Saccharomyces cerevisiae S288C: one gene and its partners. Changing the gene in region 3 together with the main gene of any one other region gives a genetic interaction. Each region holds a gene or a part of one and is shown on either strand. Other genes may lie near its edges. The genes, in order: YHR140W, YDR222W, IRC19 and PFS1.

Region 1 (2,861 bases), on a different chromosome or scaffold from region 3:
GTTAACAAGACACGTAGGCGTTCGCACTAAAACACAGCATTGCTACTAAAGTACGTTACTAAGAACCAGTAAAAATAAATATGTATAAATAAAATGTAGATACAGCTGATTCCCAATATCTCATTTCAGAAATGATCAACACCAGGCGCCCAGCAACGTTCAATCTATCTACGCTTCAGTACTACTAAAAGTGGGAAAAACGTGGGCTTTTAGTCATTCCCTGCAATTTTAAGAAAACTGCATATACTAGTAGTACATTCGCGATATAATTATGATGTTGGCCTTTTTAAAACAAAAACCAAAAGGAATTTGATTATAACAAAACTAAAGAGGTGTGGAAAATTAATACAAACCTTCGACTTTTTATAGTGCGGTTCCTACACTTTTTTTTTTTCCCGCTTACCCTGGTGATTGATTTTTTGGGTTCCGTTGTAGGGCTAGCACGAAAATAAGAATTAAGTAGCAAAATTTGAGATTTGCTCACTTTACATACAAAGAGCTTAAATAGTAGTATACTAGTAGTAATGCTAATTCTTATCACCTTTCTTTGCCGACTTCTTGATGTATTTTGGCGGAAACTTTTGATAAAATACATAATAAGCCCACGTAATAGTAGCAACAACAACAAATATAATCGACTTGTACGGCTCGTTCACGTCTAGAAACGGGTATGGATAGGCTTGGCCTTGCCCCGCATCTATCAGGAATGCTAAATATTGAAAATATGAAAATGCTAAACTGGTTACAATGAGCCATGCATGCTTATTCGATAATTTGAATTTCGTGCCAGATCCCGATAAGTAGTGATCGGCTAGTAAATATAAAATAGGATATAAGTGGATTGCCATATCCACTGTCATAGGAAAAGGTGTCTTTGCAGTAGATTCAACTCCATGCATTATTAAGTTGACAAAAAACAATCTAAGCGGCCAATAAACGGTAGCAACAATAGATTCTAATACTAAAGAAACTGGCAAAGTGACATGTCTACTAATAAAGTCTGATTTTTTCTTGGTTTCTAGATTCATCTTATTGTTTCTTTGGATATAATAATTAGAAATGTTAACCGCGTTATTAATGATTGTTGCAATAATAGATATAATGGTTAGAAACTGTTTATGGCCTGCTTTACTTAAACTTGGAGGTAAGACTACAGATGTGGCCCTAACAAACCCCCAGGTGCTCGTCAAAAGACACGCGGTGTTAAGGGTCAAAGTAAAACGTGTTGGTACCAGACAAGACATCATGGATTCTCCTTGTATTATGGTTTTAAAATACGAGAAAAATTTGCTAAGAATACAGCAAGACTAGTGTAGAGATAATCACTGACATATAGAAAGTGACTTATATAATTCGAGAAAAAAGGGACTTATATACTTATCGGAGATCTTTTCATTAAATGCGAAGCGCAGACTTCTCTAATCCGCGGATCTTGTCAAATTTAATGAGCAAGTCTGAAAAGGAAAAGAGAGCGATCATTATTTTTAATTGTCGCTTAAACAAAGGATTATATGTCACTTCTGCATGCGTTTCACGCTCTGTTTTTAGATGCTGCAAACAGGAACCTCTTATAGAATTTGTATCCCCAAAAATGATAGCATTTGTTCAAATAGATGGACGCTATTTGACAAAAATGTTAACATGTGACATTCACGTCAGAAAAGAGGCCAAAGAAGGAAGAGGGTACCAGCAAATACATAAACTTTCCTAAGGAATAGGTTAAGTTCTTTTATTCTGCATGTGTGGATGCTTAAGGTCATTTTAACGAATGGGTCCATTAGCCCCGCGCCTTTTTCAGGTCAGCGAACGCTTATAATTCCAAGCCATCTCATGTTATCTCATTATTTTAATGTGAGCGAATATGCTTTTTTTTTTTCAATTGCTGCTATGAGATTATTGCTTCCATTACTAATGGTAGGGTTCAAGGAGGCTGAAAAACTGGATGGAAACGGAAATGAAAAATAAGGGGGAGGCGTAACGGTGGCAACGCTGCATAGTGAACAATTCATTACCTATTTATCATTTTTAGTTGGAATTTGGCCACCTTATGGCACATTTACCATTTGAGGGATCTGAAGATCAAGTCCGCCTTAAGGGTGCATATCATGCGTCATTTGTCTGCGTTAAGGTGCAGACGCTTCCCTTGAAAATCGCCGAAAGAAGCTAAGCCGAAGTGACACGGGCCTTTTCCTGCGTCAAAAGAAGCCGATGATCTACCAGAAAAAGATCATTCAACAGTTAAGGGCTACAGTAGTTCTCAGCGAATACCGGCTGATGTACAGAAGCGAATTCCTGTTGGGGAATCTCACTGTACCCTTCAAATATGTAATGTTAGAGTAGCAAAAGTTCTTGGCTTAGCAATTACATTTAACGCTGATGATCCTCGGTTTATGAGCAGAAAATAGGGAAAAACGTGTACAAATGATTCTCTCAGAATGTGCAACTAGCATCCCCTTTTAGAAATGCCTTGTTGAAAATTCCCCTAAGACGTTACTCATTAGAATACTATAAAAATTGGGAGGAAAGCTAAAAACACTTTTGGTTTCTCTTGTTCCTATCAATCATGCTCTAGTATTTGATTTCGATCAGTTTTCACATCTAAGAACCCAATCAGCTATTATGAAATTCACATCAGTGCTAGCATTTTTTCTTGCAACTTTAACAGCTTCTGCAACACCACTTTACAAGAGGCAGAACGTTACTTCTGGCGGCGGTACGGTCCCCGTGATCATCACGGGTGGACCTGCTGTATCTGGTAGCCAGTCAAACGTTACTACCACAACGCTATTCAACTCTACTTCCACCTTAAACATCACTCAACTTTACCAAATTGCTACTCAAGTTAATCAGACTTTACAAAG
Region 2 (3,686 bases), on a different chromosome or scaffold from region 3:
GCTTGCTATGAAAGTCTGATTTCTAGAGTACACACCTCTATAGCTACACTCTCAACTGATTGCTTCACTTTTTGAAAGAGGAAGAAGGACAAGAACTGGATTCACAAACTCAACTACATCTCGGTTTATCCGTTTAGACCAAGGTTTTATATAAGGCGAGGTAGAGTTCGGAAAAGGAAACTTTCATCGACTTCCCTTAATGATTATTGATTCCCCTTTGCTTTCTCTCCCCAACATTTGAAATATGATTTCTTTTTATTTCGAAAATGCCATTCTTCTCGTTCCCGTGATGTTTTCAATATGCATGCGGCAAGGGGAACATGATATTTCCGTTCTATGGCTTACGCAAGTAAGAAGCATGGCGCAATGATGCAATAGTCCATGGGGGAAAGTGTGGCCTCAAAATGAAAAAAAAAAGTGATGATAAATTAGTTATTAGGTAGTGATTATGTAAAAAAATTCGATTACACATTAATTATTAGGTAAAGTTGGTAGAAGAAACAGGAGAGAAAAAGAAGAGAAAAAAAAGGACAAAAAACGAATTTCATGTGGAAGTGTTCACGCTTTTGTTCAACTAATGAAGGTGCTCTCAACGATAGAAATACCTTTCTCGTGCTTATATTTAGAAGGTTGACAGTATTGATAAATGAAAGGTTTGATGCTCACAATTTTCTGAGCTAACGACCTGACCATGCTTGGTAACTCACCGAGAACGTCGTATCGATTAACCAGCCTCAAGTCGTGTTCTGAAAATCCACCGGGGAACTTGATAGAGGTTGGATATACCCAGCCGCTTTCCTTATCTGTACTCGTAGCACGGAACCTAACATGACGTTTTGGGCTCTGCACAGAAGAACCAATAGATATCAGTTTGTTTTTTTCAGTAATTGACCAAACTGTTACGGTGACGTTATCATGATCTCGAGGAGTAGTGAATTCAATTGCTAAAACAGAGTAGTTTTCGCTCTGAAAACATAGGAAATTCCATTTACTGGCTGCTTTATTCGGCAAAAGACCTTGAACAGCGTCCAGATAAACGACAGGAACATCAGTTAATGAAATATTTTTATTTTGAAAGTCCCCACTATTGAGTTTTTTATCGTAGGAAATATTACCATTACATTTACCTCTGGGCACAAAAACATGTCTGATCATTTTGTCTGAGGAAACGAATTCGTCACTCATCGAGATTTGTTTGTCAAAATAATAATTGCAACCGTTGGGGTTCATCTTAAAACCTTGAAACAAATCCACCAACAAATCGATTTTCAAATTTTGAATTGTATTGTTACATGTTGGTAAATCACATTTGATAGATAACTGGCCAATGGAACCTAATTTTTCATTTTTGTTGCTCAAAAATTCAAAAATAACATTTCTAGAGACAAACTTTAATGGTTGAAATTCAGCTATGTCATCCAATTTAAAACTTTCCCAAACGTCGTAGTCAGTATTATTACTTTCTGAGCCAAAAACCTTGAAATTCAATTGGAAGCCTTTATAGATACCACCCATAACCGTAGAATACAGTAATTGAACAAATCCACACAAGCCTGTATGCAAATCTGTGAAATATAACGTTTGGGTCTCGACTCTGGTCTCCATCGATTTTTTCATCACTCTGAATAAACCTCTACCACCATCTGTCTTGTTACTTATGGTGTGTTGGTAGCCCGTTTCACTATCATTGTGACAATACCACTCCAATGGTTGGATGTCATTAATAAGAGTATAGTTCTTACTCTTACTTACCGGTTTTTTGTAATCTACCTCTTTAATAGGCGCAAACTTTATCTTATCACTGCTCGATTCAAGCATCACTAAATGAGTCTCTATGTATGTACGATGTATCTTATACGCCCTCACTGTCAAGAAAAGACAATACGAAGTACGGCGGCAATTGTCACTCAAGAAATTTCTTCATTTTTATATGACTATACATCGTAAACTCAAGCCCAGAGAAGTGAGTCTCCAGTAAACACTGTTCGTTATATCCATCACATTTAAAATCCGTAGGCTTAAGATTGCCAAAACATATGCATACAAATTCCAGTAGTAAACATGATTTTGGAATTCACTGTAATAATCTGTGAGACATCTTGGAAACCGGAAGAACAAAGATGAGAAAAAAAAAAAAAAAAAAATAAAAGCCGCATAAACATCGGCTAGACGGAAAAATTAGCATTACGTCTATGACTTAGTTCTCCGAAAAAAATACAAGCCGTGTGGGGTGATTACGCCGTACCCTTCTTTTCGCGTTATTCCAACAGGTCGTACAGAACTATCAGTATTTGGAACGATATACTTATTTATCGTCTTTTCGCGTTTTGGCCGAGGGAAATATTGCTTTTGTTGCGGAAAAGAGTATCACGGCACAGCATCGGCCTTCCTAGTTGTTTACTTACTAAAAAAGCCTAACTACTCATTTTCCAGTCATTCACTTAAATTGAACTTAGGGGGCTCGTATTCGAAAGTCTTGTTGCAGCCTAGAGGACCAACGACATCGAAGATGTAGTTGCACTTAGTCGCTTCATGTACACTCCGAATCTTGAATTTGTCGCTGCACCGAACAAATACAGTAGCCGATCTGCGCGGACCATTCCAGCACTGGTCTCCATTTTCGTATTCTAGTACCAGACCATTATTCAGTTCGTTTAAGTTCCCGAATACGTAATGTTGCATGTTACCGTCATCGTCCTGTATAGCTGCTAAGTTTGAAATCAAATCACTCTTCTCATCATATGTGGCCTTTAAATGTTCTGCGTATTTTTCCATGTTTAAGTCAACATTAAAACCTGATGTCTTAAAACGACCGATCAAAACTTTTTTACCGTCAACCTTATCCTCAGCTTGATATATGACACCTTCGGTCATTGGACGTTGAAAGCATATAGTGTACACATAGTTGTCCAGTATGTCGTCAAGACAATAGGATTGTGATCCCATTAGTTCTAAAAGCTCAGTCAGATTTCCTGCAGTAGAATTAGTTCCTTCATCTTCAGTTTCATCTAATAATTTCTTATAGTCCATTTTTTGCTTTAATTCATTCTCCAGGAGACTGACTTGACTTTCACAAGAGCGGAATCTCTTCTCTAATGAGACCAAATCTTTTCTAGATGAAAAAATATTCAGCTTAGATAGAATCTCTTTGAGTTTATTGCGCAAATCTCCAGAAGTACCGATATGATCGCTGTTCGTATCTTGTTCTGACTCAACAGCGTCTGGTGGCAATACCTTTGGTGCATTCTCGTTCACAAATGATGTTACTTCGCTCAACGATCTCAAAAGGCTCTCTGACGGGTGAGCTGGTTCTAATTCAGCCAGTTCGCCGTATTCACCTAGGTAGTTTTTATACGAATCGACAGCACTTTTGACCCCTGCATCTTGAAAGTTAACATTGTAATTCTGAGAAATATCATCCATAATCAAACGGAATTCTCTGATATACTCCAAGATATCGTTGGTATAGTTAATTTTACCCTCCACTAGCGCTTGAACAAAATTGGATTTTCCTATGACGTACCTCAACGTGTTCTCAGATTCTCTTTTCAAAAAAATTTGAGGTACTTCTTCTGTAAAGTACAAGTAAAGATTATCTGCCTGCTCATCATCAATTTTGCTATCTGCATTAATTTTAGCCTTTTCAGCCCGTCTTCTAACTTTTCTGAATTTTTTAATATTATCAT
Region 3 (2,834 bases):
TCTAACAAAAGCAATCGAATTACTATCCAATTATTTGGAAACACAAAAGACGAAAATAATATTTAAAAAAATAATTAAAAAATTTGTTCTAGGGTCTGCCTCCAGCAAGAGTAACACCAGTAATAGCAATACCAATGGCAATTTCAGATCAATGAATAATGCCAAAAGTCGTACGACCATCGATAATACCAGCCAATCAGGAGCCTCACCACAACGCCACAAAATGCCTGTTATAACGACGGTAGGAGGAGCCCAAGCCATCAAAGGATATATACCAAACACTTATTACAACGGATATGGGTATGGATACGGATATACATACGAGTACGATTATAATTATGCCAACTCTAATAAAGCTCAAACCAATAATAGGCATAAATATCAAAATGGCAGAAAATGAGAAGGAAAAAAGTTCAGTAGTATTGTAACGTTCTACGCACCTTTTCAATGGATATGCACACCACAAAATATGTCATTGCGCATATCCGCATCTATTACAGTATTTGATTGATATTTTACCATACATACTAAAAAGCTCCGCTCCGCTCCTCTTTTACGATAATGATCTTTATAACCTTGTACCTAATGTCTCATTGAGATATATCAATGTTGTATCGAAATCACTAAATACTTTGAAAAGCGGAATCTTTTTCTTTTCGGTTTTATTTAGCTTAGTTAGCGGACTAGAAGTAGTTTTCAAATGAGAGAATTTGACGTCAAGCTCATCATGGCCTATTCCTCTATGCAAAATCGATCTGTACTTTTCATATTGCATTGTTAAAAGGTTCTTTAAAATTTGCCTGCAATATGTGTTGTCCCTTGCAATATCCCACTTTTGAACTTTTGTTTCGGGCAAGTATGAACAGCTCTTCAGAACAAATTCCAAGGTTCTTTGCATCTCAGTCACGGGGAGTATCCTTTCACAACATTTCGTGTTGCTGAGAAGCTCAAGATTGATTTTCGACCTCAAGCCATCAGGATTGAATACCAAGTATCGTTTGAGTTCGTAGTTTTCTTTCATAAACTTATATCGAACATAATCCCTGTAAGTATCTTTAACCATTTTCACATTCGATATGAAAGGCTTAAGCCTCATAAATCGGCGGTAAAATAGCTTAACAACTGTACTTCTCTCAGGTGAGTCTGCATCTAGCTTTTGAAAACGTGAAGGAAGTTGGTATTTAGAATGCGATTTAATAAGAGTATAGTCTGGAGTTATAATAGCTTTTGCTGTTGTTATCGTAATAGAAGGCTTACGCATTGTGTTATCCGCTTAACTGCGATTAACATGCATACGTATGATATACTCGAGCTAGTCTCATAAGCTTTCTTCATATATGGTTGTCATGGCAAACTTCGATGTTCGTCGATAGTGACAGGTTCCAAAATTTTTCATTCAGCTCATCGCATATTTTGGAAATTCAAACAATGATTAACAACCGATGTGTGAATTAATCTGCGAGTCAGTTAGAATAAAAGATCATTAGGGCCGATAATAGCTACGTGGTGGGAAGGCTGGAATAATGGTTAAAGTAAAGTCGAAAAAGAACTCATTAACAAGTTCTCTAGATAACAAGATCGTCGATCTTATCTATCGTCTCTTGGAAGAAAAAACTTTGGACAGAAAAAGGTCTCTGAGACAAGAATCCCAAGGAGAAGAGGGCGAGAACAACGAGGGTGAAGAAGATGAGGATATATTTGAATCCATGTTTTTCGCTAAAGATTTAACAGCAGGTGAGATTTTTACCTTTTGTTTGACTAAAGATTTATCACTTCAAAGAGTTAAGAAAGTTGTCTTACAAAAGACAATTGACCGCATGCTAAAAGACGTGATTGAATCAGAATTGGAAGAATTTGGTTCTTACCCAGGTTACAACAACGAAGAGGAAGAGAAACCAAGCTTGGAAGAAGAACTAGCTAAGAAAAATATGATGATTGAGCGAGACACAAATGAGATGAACAAACGCATAACTAGCACGTGGTCCAAATCTGGATCTGTTTCCGAGTCTATAACAGAAACTGATGATCCTAAGACAGAAGAGGTTAAAAAATCTAAAAAAAGATCCAAAGAAGGTACATGTAAGGTAAAACGTCAAAAAATCAAGGAAGATAGATCTCCACCTAATTCGTCTCTGAAATCCTTAGGTGGTATGGATGATGTCGTTGCACAACTTATGGAACTAATAGGTCTACCCATTCTTCATCCAGAGATATTTTTATCCACGGGTGTCGAACCACCTAGAGGTGTTCTGTTGCATGGCCCACCGGGTTGCGGTAAGACGTCGATTGCTAATGCGTTAGCTGGAGAATTACAAGTCCCATTTATATCTATTTCTGCACCTTCAGTCGTAAGTGGTATGTCTGGGGAAAGCGAGAAAAAGATTAGGGATTTGTTTGATGAAGCGAGAAGCTTGGCACCATGTCTTGTTTTCTTTGATGAAATAGATGCCATTACACCAAAACGTGATGGAGGAGCCCAAAGAGAAATGGAGAGAAGAATAGTTGCCCAATTATTGACCTCAATGGATGAATTAACGATGGAAAAGACAAATGGAAAACCTGTTATTATCATAGGTGCCACGAATAGACCTGACTCTTTGGATGCAGCATTGAGAAGAGCAGGTAGATTCGATAGAGAAATATGCCTGAATGTCCCGAATGAAGTCTCAAGGTTACATATTTTAAAGAAAATGTCTGATAACCTAAAAATTGATGGTGCTATCGATTTTGCCAAATTGGCAAAATTAACCCCAGGCTTTGTTGGCGCTGATTTAAAGGCTTTAGTTACTGCTGCCGGTACATGCGCTATTAAAAGAATTTTCCAAACCTATGCT
Region 4 (3,045 bases), on a different chromosome or scaffold from region 3:
GTTGAGTATAATGCTAGATTGTGGAGACGTAACAGAAATGAAACTATTATCCAGGAAACACAGGGGGAGAAAAAATTATCGATTTATGGGAATTGGTCCAAAAAATTGATTAGTTTAAATAACAAAAGTCAACCAAAACTGATGAAGTTTGCCCAGTTTGAAGATCAGCTGATTACTGCAGATGATAGAAGTACCATTACAGTTTTTGATTGGGAGAAAGGAAAGACTTTGTCCAAATTCTCCAATGGTACTCCTTTTGGCACAAAAGTTACTGACCTGAAACTCATTAACGAGGATGACTCCGCCCTTTTATTGACAGGTTCTTCAGACGGTGTTATCAAAATATACAGAGACTACCAAGATGTCGACACCTTTAAAATTGTATCCGCCTGGAGAGGCTTGACCGATATGTTATTGACACCTAGATCCACAGGTTTACTAACCGAATGGTTACAAATAAGAGGATCATTGTTAACAACTGGTGATGTTAAGGTTATCCGTGTCTGGGATGCGCATACAGAAACGGTTGAAGTGGACATTCCTGCAAAAACATCATCTTTAATTACATCCTTGACGGCTGATCAGCTAGCAGGTAATATCTTCGTAGCAGGGTTTGCAGATGGCTCCCTGAGAGTATATGATCGCCGTCTCGATCCAAGAGATTCCATGATACGTCGCTGGAGAGCTGGAAATGATAAGCAGGGAGTTTGGATTAACAATGTTCATTTACAAAGAGGTGGTTACAGAGAATTGGTCAGTGGAGCTACCAATGGTGTTGTAGAGTTATGGGATATAAGGTCCGAAGATCCGGTAGAATCGTTTGTTGATCAAAACGTAACTTCTCAGTACGGTTCGCAACAAAAACCAACGACAATGACGTGCATGCAGGTTCATGAGCATGCTCCGATAATTGCGACAGGGACTAAACAAATAAAGATATGGACGACATCTGGAGATCTTTTGAATTCTTTTAAAAACTCACATAATAATGGCGTAACAAGTACATTAGCCGCTACGGGAATCCCAAAGTCACTGTCCTACTCTTCCACTTCTGATGCATTTTTATCTTCGATGGCTTTCCATCCTCATAGAATGATGATTGCGGCCACCAATTCTCACGATTCTATTGTAAATATCTACAAGTGTGAAGACGAGAGAATTGATTATTTTTGATATGTGCCATTTCTTTTTTTTTCTTTCATTTAGCTGCAAAAGAGATATATATATATATATATATATAATCTATTATATAATAAAAGTCGAGTAAAAAATTGGTCTGATTGTGAATTTAACAGCTGGTCGCAAGTTCTGGAATTTGTTGTTAATTATTGTTTCATGTTCGTATAATAATACGATGTTTAGTAAAGCAGAAAGTTCAGAATATTAAAAGTCTGTTCCAATAGTGTAGCGGCTATCACGTTGCCTTCACACGGCAAAGGTCCCGAGTTCGATCCTCGGTTGGAACATTTTAACATCGATTTTTTTGTTTGTCATAGCCAGACCAATTACGACGTTTAGAGGCATGCACTTTGTTAAATATTTTTTCTCTCTCCTTCGACATATTTTTTTTCCTGTTTACGTAACATTCATCCCCAGTCTTTGTATCATTTTTTTTTTTTTTTGGTGATGCGACAGCAATTCTGGCCGACACAGTCGTTTTCAAAGAAAAACTACCACAAACTATGGAACATAATTGAAAACAAAAACATTTACTTATAACCTACATAATGATTGAAGATACTTCATTGATCTTTACCACCTTCCTCGTTGAAATCTTTTCTACCATAGTCAGTATTTTTGGGAATTTTATAAAAACGCAAATTTTATCGAAATGAATCAAGGTTACACACAGCTTTCCGCACCGGAACTGAAGGAGACTAAAACATCGAAGCTAAATAAAATGAACAACTTTCGAAGCTCTCCGATTGCTGAGATAATTAATAAGATACCACCAGATTGCGGGAAGATACAGAATACAACATTTCCTGAGTTCAATCCAGCGTTAAGAAGACGACAACACGAACAGTGGCCTGCATACGAAAAACCAATAAGAGTTACTGACAGTATGTCACCACAGCTTTCTTCAATCAATTGTTTGCCAAATTTGTATCCCCACGGTACGCTACCATTACCAAACCCTTATTTATCCTATTTAAATCACATTGAAAAAGTTAATTGCCAAGATGTCAAGTTTAGTAACTGGAGTGTTTTACATAATTCGAATAATGGATTTGAAATTCCGACATATTTCAGTCCACGGACAACACAAAACATGCCTTGTTCCGAAAAAGTTGAAAGCTGGCTTGAAAGATTACCAATTTTTGTGGGGTTCGACGGTTATTTATTTACAAACTGCTTTGATTATGAATATATGTTGGATTGGGAAGAGACAGAATTTACATTCGAGAAAACATCATGTATGGAGACGGATTATTCTAAAGCTTTAACCGATACTGATATTATATATATTCAAGAGAAAAAAATTGAAGCGTTGATAAGAAACCAATATCTGAAGGAGTATGAATTTTCTCAAAAAGATTTTTGAATTTTGAAGAAAGCCATTAATATTTAAATGTAATTTTGTGTAGAATTATAATAAATTGATGTTTATGTATAGATCTCTCGAAATATATTTAAGAATATATAAATAATAAATGTACAACAATAAGCATAGAACATGGAATGAGTGTTCAAACTATATTCGTTTGTTTTTTAGATAGGAGTTCTCCAGACGTTTTCATCCAAGTTTTGTTTTGCATCATTTAAAGCTGCAGCAAGAACTTTGCTTTCTTCACTTGCAGACTCCGGTTTGACTTGAGTTTTTTTAATGGAAAGATTCCTCAAACTAGCGGCATTGACATTTACATTTCTTTTCGTGCTTCTTAAAATCAAGGAATCATTTGATTCGAGATTCTCCTTCTTTATTTCAGGTTGCGATATCGATGGAACTTCTGCAGTTGAAGAGCTGATATTTTTTGCCTCTTTCTCTTCTTTTTCCTGAGCGAGAAGTTCAACTAATTGATCGGGCTCAAGTTCTTTCGCAGA

What was found.
Region 1: mutations in IRC19 (region 3) and YHR140W together harm fitness less than expected from each alone (positive genetic interaction), as found in Saccharomyces cerevisiae (one large-scale study listed by BioGRID).
Region 2: mutations in IRC19 (region 3) and YDR222W together harm fitness more than expected from each alone (negative genetic interaction), as found in Saccharomyces cerevisiae (one large-scale study listed by BioGRID).
Region 4: mutations in IRC19 (region 3) and PFS1 together harm fitness more than expected from each alone (negative genetic interaction), as found in Saccharomyces cerevisiae (one large-scale study listed by BioGRID).

What each region holds. Positions count from the first base shown.
Region 1 is NC_001140.6:378,958-381,818, reverse strand, and holds YHR140W (uncharacterized protein), read right to left. Parts: upstream 1,248-2,861; coding exon 528-1,247; downstream 1-527. Other genes in the region: YHR139C-A (uncharacterized protein), read left to right, coding at 1,400-1,711; SPS100 (Sps100p), read left to right, coding at 2,620-2,861.
Region 2 is NC_001136.10:908,186-911,871, reverse strand, and holds YDR222W (uncharacterized protein), read right to left. Parts: upstream 1,819-3,686; coding exon 571-1,818; downstream 1-570. Other genes in the region: GTB1 (Gtb1p), read right to left, coding at 2,434-3,686.
Region 3 is NC_001144.5:71,836-74,669, reverse strand, and holds IRC19 (Irc19p), read right to left. Parts: upstream 1,262-2,834; coding exon 569-1,261; downstream 1-568. Other genes in the region: YLL032C (uncharacterized protein), read left to right, coding at 1-400; putative AAA family ATPase RIX7, read left to right, coding at 1,524-2,834. UniProt on the Saccharomyces cerevisiae protein: Involved in sporulation and maintenance of the mitochondrial DNA. Is probably involved in a pathway contributing to genomic integrity.
Region 4 is NC_001140.6:474,127-477,171, reverse strand, and holds PFS1 (Pfs1p), read left to right. Parts: upstream 1-1,831; coding exon 1,832-2,545; downstream 2,546-3,045. Other genes in the region: ubiquitin-binding TORC1 subunit KOG1, read left to right, coding at 1-1,173; SSP1 (Ssp1p), read right to left, coding at 2,713-3,045. UniProt on the Saccharomyces cerevisiae protein: Involved in the pathway that organizes the shaping and sizing of the prospore membrane (PSM) during sporulation. Required to localize MPC54 to all four spindle pole bodies, and localize DON1 and SPO14 to four prospore membranes.